Linked DNA regions of Coturnix japonica. The protein of the gene in region 3 purifies or fractionates together with the protein of the main gene of each other region. This does not show direct contact. Links are inferred from orthologs where the notes say so. Each region holds a gene or a part of one and is shown on either strand. Other genes may lie near its edges.

Region 1 (3,721 bases), on a different chromosome or scaffold from region 3:
CTGAGATGCCCCCACCTCCACTGCCAACCCTTAAATGAGGCCTGGGAAGAGGTGGATCCTGGCTCCTCCCCTTCTGGTCACTCAGGCACACTACACGCAGCTGAGCTCCCCTGGGTTGGCCCTGCCCTCCCACCAGGTGTTCAATCACAGGTTCAAACCGTAATTTAGCATTTCCACTACACATAGTAACAAAGCTGCACCTAATTTTTACAGGAATGCTTTCAGCTGTAGACCTGGTTGAAGTCAATCCGCTGCTTGGAGCTTCTCAAGAGGAAGTGAATGCAACTGCTAGTCTTGCAGTTGATGTGATAGCAACGTGCTTTGGACAGACGAGAGAAGGGGCGCACACTGCTTTTGATGAACTCCCAACACCCAGCTCTCCAGATGAATCTGACAGTGAACAGCAAGTGAGGATTTAAGAGCCCGCAATGCTGGGTATGCTAGATGTTAAAGAGCTCTGCTGAGACACTCGAGCAAATAGACTGTCAACACTTGGCAAATACTGTTAACTAACTTCTTGATTTTTAAATAAAAGTAGTTTTTGCACTTGATCAGTGGCTACTGTATTACATATGAAGATTTATTCACTTAGTTAAGTATATACAAATTGAGACAATAAAATATTTATTACCTTCTCTGTAATCTCACTGGTAGTTTGCAAGTCTGTCTGTATTTTCCTTTTGCTTCCTTTCACTGTCTTTCTCGTGTCAGTACAGTTTCAGTGGTGCATGCTGTCTCATGAGATAGTTCAGTTTTAGACAGTCACAGAGGAGACATCCCATCCTGCTCCTCAGCAGTGGAAAACAAAGTCACAAAGGTTCATCTACTGCGAAAGAATTTGTAGTAGACCACACCTCCTAGGATGGCTAGTTCCAGGACGATGATGATCATCAGCAACAACTTATTAGTGGCTATTCTAGAGTTAAAAAATAATAAACACAAATAATCCAAGGCTCTTTTATAAGAAAAAAAAGCTGATTCTTACCTTCAGAAAGTAGATTCCCTGTTTCTGCTAGTACTATTTTAAATAGCACTTAAGAAGGCAACCTTTGGGTGCCCATTTAATTTTTCCTGAAATCCTATATCCCATCTTTTATTTCAAAAACCGCAGTTGTGTTCTTTTCCTCCTGCCCCCATTCCCCAGAAAGGCAGAGCATCCTGCTCTGTGTGTGCCTGTTTATTCAATTAAGCACAAAGGAACACTTAAGTTGAATTGCTGCAGCTTTAAAACCTACACTGTGGTTAATTTTACATCAATTAATACAGTTAAGTTGAGATTTTTAGTCTTAATTCACTGTACTTTTCCTTTGAAAATTATTGCTAAAGGAAATTATGGTAATTATAAAGGAAAAAGCTTGTTAGACCAGAAGTACCCACTGAAAAAGTATTCCATGAACTGGTTTATGAGAATAATTAAACCACACAGTTAAACCATAAATACACTTAAGCAACCAAGGCTTTAGTCATCAGCACAGGGTAGGGTCAAGCTCAGAGTTTCTCAAATAACAGTCCAGCTGTGCTAAGGCATTCCTGTGGGCTCAATGGATTTGTCTCTGTCATCAGACACCTAAATCACTTAATGCTGCAGTGATTTATGCCACAGTGTCTCCCAACCTGAATAAACACTATTCAAAATTTACCTTTAGAAATAGACTGTAATTTAGTCAAAATCCCTCCCATCACTACAATCTATCGTGCCTCATTGTTACAACCCCAGTATTATCTTAATAAAACTGTATACAAATAATTTGCAGCACAAATTCAGTAGTATTCGCTCACCTACACTTCCCCTAATATCTCCCTAGAGTTCCAGTTGACACTTTTGTTACTTTTTTCCATAAACAGTAAGCAACAACAGAACCTTCAGAATACTGCATCCCTCTAAGTCAGGTGCTACTCACCTCCTGGACATGGAACGCAGTATCTTACGACTCTTGCTTAAGTTTTCACTTGTATTCACCAACTAAGAAGAAACAAAAGTTATTTACCAGTTTACAGTTCTGAAGATGCAAATGCAATTCTTAATTGTAACATTTAGACACCAACAAATGCGTTCAACACAAACTATGTGTTCTCAAAATTCAGAGACAACACTGCTCTCCAGGCACAGTACAGAGGGAACAGCTGTCTCCTTACTAAGGCAGAAACAAGACTGTTGGGGATATATTCCTTTAGGTACATGCAAAGATTCCATGCAATTTACAAACACTCTATTGGTAAAGTTGGTGCGAGGCCCTTTTATTAATTGGTTTCTTTAATCGAGTTGTGAATATAATTGCTGTCTGTTATCAGCATGTTCTTCTCTAGTGCATATCTACAACTGTTTGACATGCAATTAAGTTCCCTACAAAGAAAATAAACACGTTGCCCTGACAGGCCTATGTGACCCAACAGATTTGACCACTGAACTGTTAATGGATGATCCATTTCAGCTTGGTAACACTCAGAAATGAACCAAACTGTTGCCTCAGCTAATGTACAAATATTGCAAGGTTAGTGTTGGCTGCTGCCATTCAATTTCATTTCACGAGCACAACACAGTAATGTGGCAGCCTTTGGTATGTTAAAGCATCAACCGGCTCAGCCCATCTGGGGGTCTCCCAGTACAATGACTGGCATACATTTCTAAGCTAACACTGGGCTGTGTGAGCACACTGCCCACAGGATCTCCACTTACTCTGCTCCTGGTGCGTTCCAGTTGCTCTCTCTGCTCCCCAAGTTCTTCAATGATATCAGTACCAATCTGATCTGTTTCAGCAGCAATCCGGTGTGAGCGCTCAATGCTCTGACTGGCTCGGTTCAGACTGTCTGTTCCTTGGAGAAGCAGCACCCTCTGTGACTGCAGATTAGTCTGAGGAAAAATATACATTTAACTATTAAACACCAGGATCTGACGTATTGAAAAAGAAGGGTATGCAGTTAAAGAGTTAAGACATTCAGCTACAAAGAACTGTCTTTGCAGTAATTCATTGTTCTATTGAGCAACATCTGTATGAAAACAATATCTGGGCTCTTCCAGATGCTTTCCTTTTGTTCAGATTTAATGTCAGTCTCATTTGTGACACTACAGCTAGTTGCCAAGGAGATTATTAGGAGTTTACTCAGTCACAGACAAAAAGCATTAGCAGATGGACTGCTAAGTAACAAAGCTCCTCTATTAAAGCCAGTAGCCGCAGACAGAGAGCAAGAAATGTTTGCTGACCTCAGGGTGAACAGGTAACTCAGATTTTCTTAAGCTTCAAAAAGTCTGACCCATCATCCTGCTCTTGGGTTTTAGCAATCAAGAGGAATCAAATGCAAAAATATACCTAGCTACTGTATTATGGAAACTCCCCCAGACATTTCTTAACTAAGGCAGGGAAACAAACAAAAAACCAACACTTTTCCACAAATTTTCTATATAGACACCTCTCTGAAGACAGCAAGCAAATTCATTCTCTCTACCCTGGACATACCTAAATAGATGCAGTAAACCAGTGTATTTCTTGCTCTGCAGCAACACATCCATTACTGCACGAGACAGAGGAAGACAAAACAGTTTCCAGAAAGTATATAAAAAATGAGATTGTTTAAGAGAAGGCTCTATGGAAGAACCTGTACAGTGTATGTAAGTCACATCCCTTTTTGGGGTTAAGATTGAGATCAGTTTACCATTCTTCTCAGCAGGGGAGTGATTTAAATAAAGTATTTCACTATCCTTAACGAGTCTCTTAAAAATATG
Region 2 (3,500 bases), on a different chromosome or scaffold from region 3:
TTTCACAGCATCAAAATGTTTCACACTTAACCACAAAGTAAATTTAGTAATCAGGTATCCTTGTGTCAGTGTGTAGTACATTGTATATGACCTGCTCATTTCTCATTTTCAGCTGTTAAATGAACTAAATATGTTGGTTTCCTCTTTAAATCCCTAAAATTGTGTCAGAGTTATGTAATCGCAGGGGATGGGAAGGTTTGTCCATGCAAATGTTTTAGTAGGCAATTTTCTGTTATACCTATTTAGGGAAGAAAAAAGAAAAGCATACCTTAGTAATTAGTACTGAGTAGACTGGAAATGATGAGTCTTAGAAAGCCTGATCTCATTTGACTTGGTAAAACTTCTTCTCCCATAGCGTCAAAAGAAAATACAGAAAGATCGTCTTGTAGGGGAGTTCACCACAGCGCTCACAAATTTCCAGAGGCTGCAAAGGCAAGCTGCTGAGAAAGAAAAAGACTTTGTAGCCAGAGTAAGGGCCAGCTCAAGGATATCTGTAAGTACTAGAAAATGTGCTATTATACTTTGTTTATGGTGCGGTGGTGGTGTCAAAAGGGCATTTGTAATGCTTTTAGCAAGAGCTTATATCTGAGTCCAAATGTTGCAAAATGTGTAAAATATGATTATGAGCACGGTGGCTTTCTTTGCTTACTTCCACGCACAACTGAATTTAACAGTTCCTTTTATAGCAAAGGCTGAAATACACTGTAATGAAAACTCCTGAAAGCAGTTTTGTTTTGTTTTATTTTCCTTGCCTTTGTCACATGAAGGTACAGAATGTCCCTGAGTTTGTACACTAACCTTACAAAAGTAGTTTTTAGTGATCTTGAAATACTTTTTCTGGGCGTTTAGATATGGGGACTTTTTCTACCAGGAAGAATTGCTTGCCAAGTAGCTATGCATTATTGATGTGGAGAAGTGCTGAGGAGCCTGAGATGTTAGCATGTCAGTTTTGCCTTTTTACTCTATGCCAAATACATGTCACTGTACTTGTAAATTTTAACAGGCATTTAGTGAGCTGAATGTTTTTGCCTGTATTTCAACTTTATGCATACAGAAAGCAAAATCGAGAAGCAAACATGTTAAGTCATGTTTCAGTTTGAAGTTGACTTCTTATAAGCCTTGTAATATTTACTCATTATAGAAATGCTGACAGTGTTCCTTTCTGGTCCATGATATTTTTACCTTATTTTTTTTTCTCCATATACCGATCATGTAGAGTGGTGCTCCTGAAGACAGCTACAAAGAAGGAACACTTGTCTCCTGGGACAGGTAGGCTGAATTTCTTATTAAAACTTAACCTAGTTCAGAATTTAAAATAAATAAATAAAAATTTTAAAAAGGGCTTACAGGGAAGAGTTGCTGTTTTGTTGTAGGCTTTCCTTCATAGTGAAATTGTGAGAAAGAGCCTTTTTAGTGGGATAGATGGGAAGAAATGCATTTATTTATTTATTTATTTATTTATTTCCTACACCTCAATCATCATCTTTAGCTGACCCACGTCCATATCTGGGCTCTGGGATACCCAAGCTTAGATAAGCACAGTCCAACCTGTGACTAGTGTAAAACTGTTAAGCTGTGATTGATCCATTATTTACTGGGTTCTCCTGTTATTTCCAGTCTCAGAAAAACTGCATCTCGGTCTCAGATTCTGTTGATACTGGTTAGCCTAATTTTGCCTGTTTATACTCATAATTCAGATGAACTTTGTCCTCACATTCTTACTTGGAATTTCCAAAGAGCTCGCTCAATGCTATATGCAGATTGCTACAGCAGCAGCTTCCTGTATCAGAGGTAGCATCATTAGACCTATCCTGGACATGGAAGGCTAAAAATGTGTGGTTTAACTGATGAACTTTGTGCATATGTGTTTGGCTGTCATTTTATTCTTCATATTCTAATTTATTTCTCATGGAAACTCTTCAATTCTGGTTTTGGTTGTTTTTCTTTGACAGTCAACCTCAAGCACAAGTGCAAGATGAAGAAATTACAGAGGATGATCTCCGTCTTATTGAGGAGAGGGAATCTTCCATTAGGCAGCTTGAGGTAGGCATAAACAGTTTTACAGCAGGTTTCAGAATATACTCTTAATGCTTCCAAAGAAAAACAAATCACTTCATGTTAGCATAAATCCTGGGGGCCTAGCAATTGTTTGTGGGGAGTTTTTTCTTCAACTCTACAAATACTGTCTTTATGTGATATGTTAAATGTACGTTAGAAATCTAGGGTGTGAAAGCCGTGTTTTGATGTGTTTAATCCCAGATGATTTCATTGAGAAATAAGAAAATGTTCAGAGGTAACAAGGAAAAAGTTGTCAGTTATGTTTTTTATTTTTACAAAAATAAATTGAAGCAAGGCTGTACCTTCCTACCCAGCTATTCCCAATTGTTCAGCTTCTTCATTTTGTAAGAATATTTTGTTCTCCTTTTTTTCCTGAATACTTCTTTTGGAAATAGAGATGCACTGCTGTACTCAACCTTCTGTAATTAAGGGTTTGTCAAAAAAAATAAAAGCATTTAGCATTGAGTTGTAAGTATACCAGTATCATGTGATAAAATACTGACCTCAGGAGACTTCTGTGAAGACAAAGGAAGCTTTTCCAGCCAACCTGGCATCCACATGTCTTCCATCAACAACAAAGATGCTATTGTGATAATTTCTCCCTTGCCATCCATATGTTGGATATGCAATGAACTAAGTATCTATCAGTTATTAGTTGAGGTCATTCACATAGTGACAATGTGACACATATAAATTCATTACAGCCAAACAGTAGTAGGGTAGTGTGATCCTGATTCAGTAGCTTGGCTTCATATTAAAGATGCCGCTTCTGTAAATTTTGTTGCTTACAACTTTTAAGTGTGTTTGAAGTGTTTCCTAAAACTAGTGCAAAGCATCTTGTGCATATACTTCTATTCATTTTGTTTAAATTGGTATCTATTAAGTTAAGCTGGCGTGAACCTGCCTCGTCACTTAAACTGAGACAAGCTTGTGTGTAGATGAGCCCTCAGCAGTGATAGATCCTATTTTTGAAGTGACATGAATTGTGCTTCATGCACAGTCATCTTCAGTTAGTTTGATTTTAATAAACTTTGTCTGGTAGTACAAAAAATTCTTCCAGATAAATATTAAAAGTTCTCTTTTTCTTGGTAGGGTGAAGAGTGTATATGCAGGAAAAAAATGAGTAATATATTTAGATATATTTACAGATATCTTGTTATGCTCTTTCAAGTAATGTTATGATTGTTTCCTTGCAGTCTGATATTATGGACATCAATGAAATTTTTAAAGACTTAGGAATGATGATTCATGAGCAAGGCGATGTGATAGGTAAGCCCAACTCAACTATTATCTGAAAAGTTATTTCATGTCTTTGGGGAGCAGCAGTGCAGAAAATTTATTTTGCTGGGAAAATTCCTCTAGCAAGAGCATTAATGCTAAAGCTAATCAGGTGCAACTTAACAGTAGGTAGATTGAGGTTACTGGGGATCCATAAAGATACT
Region 3 (3,978 bases):
CTCGCCCATTACATTCACCATGTTCTCCACCATTGCTCCCGTGATCCCGTTACTTTTTCCTTTGCCCATTTTACCAGTTTCATTTTACACACATCTTCACACTTTGTTCCCTCCAGCAACACACTGCTCCAGTCTCTCTGGCTTTGCCCAGCTAAGCCTCAGCTCTCCCAACACTCAAATTGCTCCTGTTTCACCAGACAAGCAGCCTTGCGCCCCTGTATATGTCATGATATGACTGGTGTCCAGCTATAAACCCAACAGCTCCTTGGTGAATTCTTTCTTTTTTCTTCCTGTTCACAGCTGCAGTGCTCTCCTTCAGCTCCCTGCAAGCCCCCATGGCCCTTCTGTCTCACCAACACATGGGAAGGGAAGAGCTCCTGCCCCTCTCTGCTATGCACAGGGAAGACCCTCTGCAATTTCCCTCCAGCAGAGGAGGATAGAGGCCAGCATTAACTCTCCCATATACTTTACAGAGCTGACACCACTCACAACTGTCATCCTCACTCACTTCAGACCAGTACAGCACCACACAACGAAGGCTGTATCCACATTGCCTCCCTGCCACAACCTGAACATCTCTACCAGCAGCATCTTGATGCCCGAGAGAGAGCACAGGCCCACTGAAAACACAGGACACAGCAGCCAATCCACCCTCCTGCATAACTCAAATGCACTTTGCCTCTCAAGATAACGCAGTGAGCAGGCACACAGCTCAGCACTGCCTACAGCTGTCACTGAGTCACTAAGCCAGAGAATGGCTGAGCTGTGGAGGTCAACTGGCCCAGCCCCACAGTCCACCCATCCATCCCACAGCAACAACAACCCGTTTATGAGGCTGTTATGGGGGACGATGACAAAAGCCTTACTGAAGTCCAGCTCAGAGAAGACCAAAGAAAGTCAAGGAAGGTCAGAAACTAAATAAAGAGGGTCAGAAAACTAAATAGTGTGTAGAAATTCCAAAGAAGATCCCAAAGACACCACCAGCCTCTCAGTCACGCTGCTCTCCAGTGACCATGAATGAACTTTATGGGCAGAGAATATGAACGGAAGGAGCCAAGATGGATTTTATTAGCTGCCCATTTCCACATAAAGAAAACAACAACAACACAACAACCCCTACTCACATGTTTGCGCTAACAAACCCTGCCAAACCAACCTGCTTAGACCTAAATAACTTCGCTTTCTGGACTGAAAAGATCCTTTTGCCTCCTTTGGTCAGGAATTTCAATTCAACTCCACAAACTCCTAAAATACCATTATTAAATCACTTCACCATGGACTTGGAAAAGTCAGAATTGTCCCTAGTTAAGTCTCACCTAGAAGAGCCTCTTTGACACTAGCTCCCAATGACTCATTTCAGAGATGCACTGGCTGATTCAAGGCATGAAGAAAACATTCCTAATGAAGAGTAACCCCAAGGCTGCACACAAAACAATACGGCCTGATTAACGTCCAGTCATCGGTCTCTGACTTCTGTTCTGCCTCGTGGATGCCAGCAAATACAACAGCACAACTCAACACAGAGGTCTCTGAGCACCCCGTCCTTCCCATTAAGTGTCACCATCACTTCTCTAATTGGAAGGAGCAGGGCTAATCAGAGCCTAGAATAAGCATCACCCAGGAAATGACTCACTTGGAGGACTCAGTGTCCCTTCCTTCCCTCTTCTCGCCCTGTTACAGCCAATGATCCTGCTCCAGCTGTACAGGGCTCCTGTTTCTCCAGCTGCTTCGACCCCACTGAGTGACTGCTCATCTCCAGGTCACCTCTACCTCATTATCACTAAAATATACCACGGGCTTTGGAAACTCCACCATGACACTGTGATAAAGTTCTACCCCTCTTCTGCTATTAAAGCACAGCTCCTTGATAACGTGAAACAAATTTGATTTTCCTTAACGGGCTGTGAAATTACAATCAGATGAAACAAAGCACGAGCCACTGATCAGAACTACAGAAAAATAGTCTGCTAACAGAGCAGCAGGAGCTTGTAACATCAGCATAAAATATTATGTGAGCGATACAGAGGAACACGAACTTACTGCCTGATCTTGTCATTTCTGGGTCCAAACCTCGGTCCGGAAGGTCCCCTCCTGCAGCAGAAAAGGACAGGAATTACAATAGCAGATGCAATGAAAACATGTGTTTAAATCAAAGACCTAAAGGTACACAATAGGGCAGGGAGCAGCTCTTGGTATCAGCACTCCCAGCCTTAGAGCTCCAGGCGGTTCAAACATCACACGCCCCGTGTCTGCTCAGAAACTCACAAGAAAAAGTCCTCCTCTTCATCTGAATCCTCCTCCAAAAGGTTCCTCTGTGAACAAAGCAAAACACCATCAGTGTCAGCCTCTTCACATGACACCCCAGACATTAGGACACCACCAGCACCTTCAGAGCACAGGGCAGTGCTGAGCCCTCATGGGAGACCATCAGCGCTGCCTCCCAGGTACGGGAGCTGTGCTGCTGTACCCTGTGAGCTGTGTGTGCTGTCACAGCACCCAGCGGTGTTTGCCGGCCCTGCCGCCCCTCAGGCCGAGCTGCAGCACAGCGGGCCCGGCCCGGCCGCACTCACCCGCTCGCTCTTCACCGAGCCCGTCACCTCGTCATCGTTCAGGTGCCGCTTGAACTTGGGCGGCATGATCCCTGCCGGGGAACCGGAACCGGGAGGACGGACACGGCCCCTCAGCGGGCAGCGGGCCGGGCCGGCAAATGGCCTCCAGCACCGGAACCGGGCAGAGCCATCGAGCCGCTCTGCGATCCAACGAGTGCCGAGCGATCCACCCGATCCACCGCGGTCTGTGTGTGGGCGGGGTCTGTGTATGGGCGGGGTCTGTATATGGGCGGGCGGCCCGACGGGGGCTGCGATGCCCACGAGCAGCCGGTGTCTGCGGCGGGGAATTTCCACGTCCCGGCGCTGCTCCACCTGCTTTATCCACCCCCCCCCATAAGTGCTATGGGACCCCCGTACCTGGCAGCTGTACAGCCCCGAGCTGATGGAAGGCAGCTCTGGGGCAGCACCGCGGGCAGCCCCCCCTGCGCTGCGGGCTGTCGCGGCGCTGAGTCCCCCGTTACGACACCCGTGTTCCCATGGGGTCCCCTCCTGCCCGTCCCGTCCATCTCCTCCCGCCGCAGCCCTGGCCCGCGGCCGCGAATAGTTTGGCCTGGGCCACCCCGCGGTGCCGGAGCTTTGCCAACGGGCGGCACGGGGGGGCCGGGCGGTCTGGAAGGTTCCCGCGGCCCTATAAAGGCGGCGGCAGAGCGGGGTGCCGATAGGGACCATGCCGGGCGCTTGGCTGTCGCTGCTGCTGCTGGCGGGGGGCATCGCCCCCAGCGCCCGCGGGGACCCCGCCGCTCTGCTGCGGAGAGAGAACGACGGCAGCGGGCGATGCACCTACAGCTTCACGGTGGCCAGTCCCGGCGAGGCCAGCTGCCCCGAGGCCGGTGCCGTAGCGCAGCTGAGAGACGAGCTGGCCGCGCTCACCGCCCGTCTGAGCCGCCTGGAGGGAGCGGGAGGTGTGGGGGGAATGGGGGGCTCGGGGCCGAGGGGCGCTGATGTGAGCGGAGTGTGGTCGCGGGGCCCCCAGCGAGCGGCCCCGGGGGGGTGCGAAGAGCTGCAGCGGGCCAAGGAGCGGCTGGAGGAGGAGAAGGGCAGGTTGGAGAGGGAGAAAGAGGAGCTGGGCCGGCGGCTGGAGAGCAGCGCCCGGGAGATCGCCCGGCTCAGGGCCGCGCAATGTCCCTCCGGAACGGGGGGGGTGCCCGGCCGCGACACCCTGCGCTCCGCCAGCAAAGGTCAGTGCTGGGGGTGGGAATCTGCGGGCATCCTCTGCGCCCCGAGTCCTACATCCTCCCCGCGCTATCGGGTCCCTCTGTCCTCCCCTACACCCTGCAGCCTGTGCCCCCACCTGGGCCACCTGCCTTTGCCCCTTAGAATAGCGCCTACCCACTGCGAGGACCCAGCATGGGGACCCCCAAGCCCTCTC

The links. Proteins that work in one complex are often made in the same cells at the same time.
Region 1: the proteins of VAMP4 (region 3) and VTI1B purify together in Homo sapiens (affinity purification with mass spectrometry; 4 studies listed by BioGRID and IntAct, counting the BioPlex papers as one, with this or other methods). This does not show direct contact. The link is inferred for Coturnix japonica from reciprocal best matches to the Homo sapiens genes VAMP4 and VTI1B.
Region 2: the proteins of VAMP4 (region 3) and STX7 purify together in Homo sapiens (affinity purification with mass spectrometry; 3 studies listed by BioGRID and IntAct, counting the BioPlex papers as one, with this or other methods). This does not show direct contact. The link is inferred for Coturnix japonica from reciprocal best matches to the Homo sapiens genes VAMP4 and STX7.

What each region holds. Positions count from the first base shown.
Region 1 is NC_029520.1:27,593,227-27,596,947, reverse strand, and holds the end of VTI1B (vesicle transport through interaction with t-SNAREs homolog 1B), read right to left. Parts: intron 2,852-3,721; coding exon 2,678-2,851; intron 1,964-2,677; coding exon 1,902-1,963; intron 917-1,901; coding exon 820-916; 3' UTR 501-819; downstream 1-500. Other genes in the region: ARG2 (arginase-2, mitochondrial), read left to right, coding at 214-419. UniProt on the Homo sapiens protein: V-SNARE that mediates vesicle transport pathways through interactions with t-SNAREs on the target membrane. These interactions are proposed to mediate aspects of the specificity of vesicle trafficking and to promote fusion of the lipid bilayers.
Region 2 is NC_029518.1:51,546,553-51,550,052, forward strand, and holds part of STX7 (syntaxin-7), read left to right. Parts: intron 1-355; coding exon 356-493; intron 494-1,216; coding exon 1,217-1,269; intron 1,270-1,952; coding exon 1,953-2,043; intron 2,044-3,254; coding exon 3,255-3,327; intron 3,328-3,500. UniProt on the Homo sapiens protein: May be involved in protein trafficking from the plasma membrane to the early endosome (EE) as well as in homotypic fusion of endocytic organelles. Mediates the endocytic trafficking from early endosomes to late endosomes and lysosomes.
Region 3 is NC_029523.1:6,871,458-6,875,435, reverse strand, and holds the start of VAMP4 (vesicle-associated membrane protein 4), read right to left. Parts: upstream 2,801-3,978; 5' UTR 2,637-2,800; coding exon 2,571-2,636; intron 2,313-2,570; coding exon 2,266-2,312; intron 2,092-2,265; coding exon 2,041-2,091; intron 1-2,040. Other genes in the region: MYOC (myocilin), read left to right, coding at 3,277-3,787. UniProt on the Homo sapiens protein: Involved in the pathway that functions to remove an inhibitor (probably synaptotagmin-4) of calcium-triggered exocytosis during the maturation of secretory granules.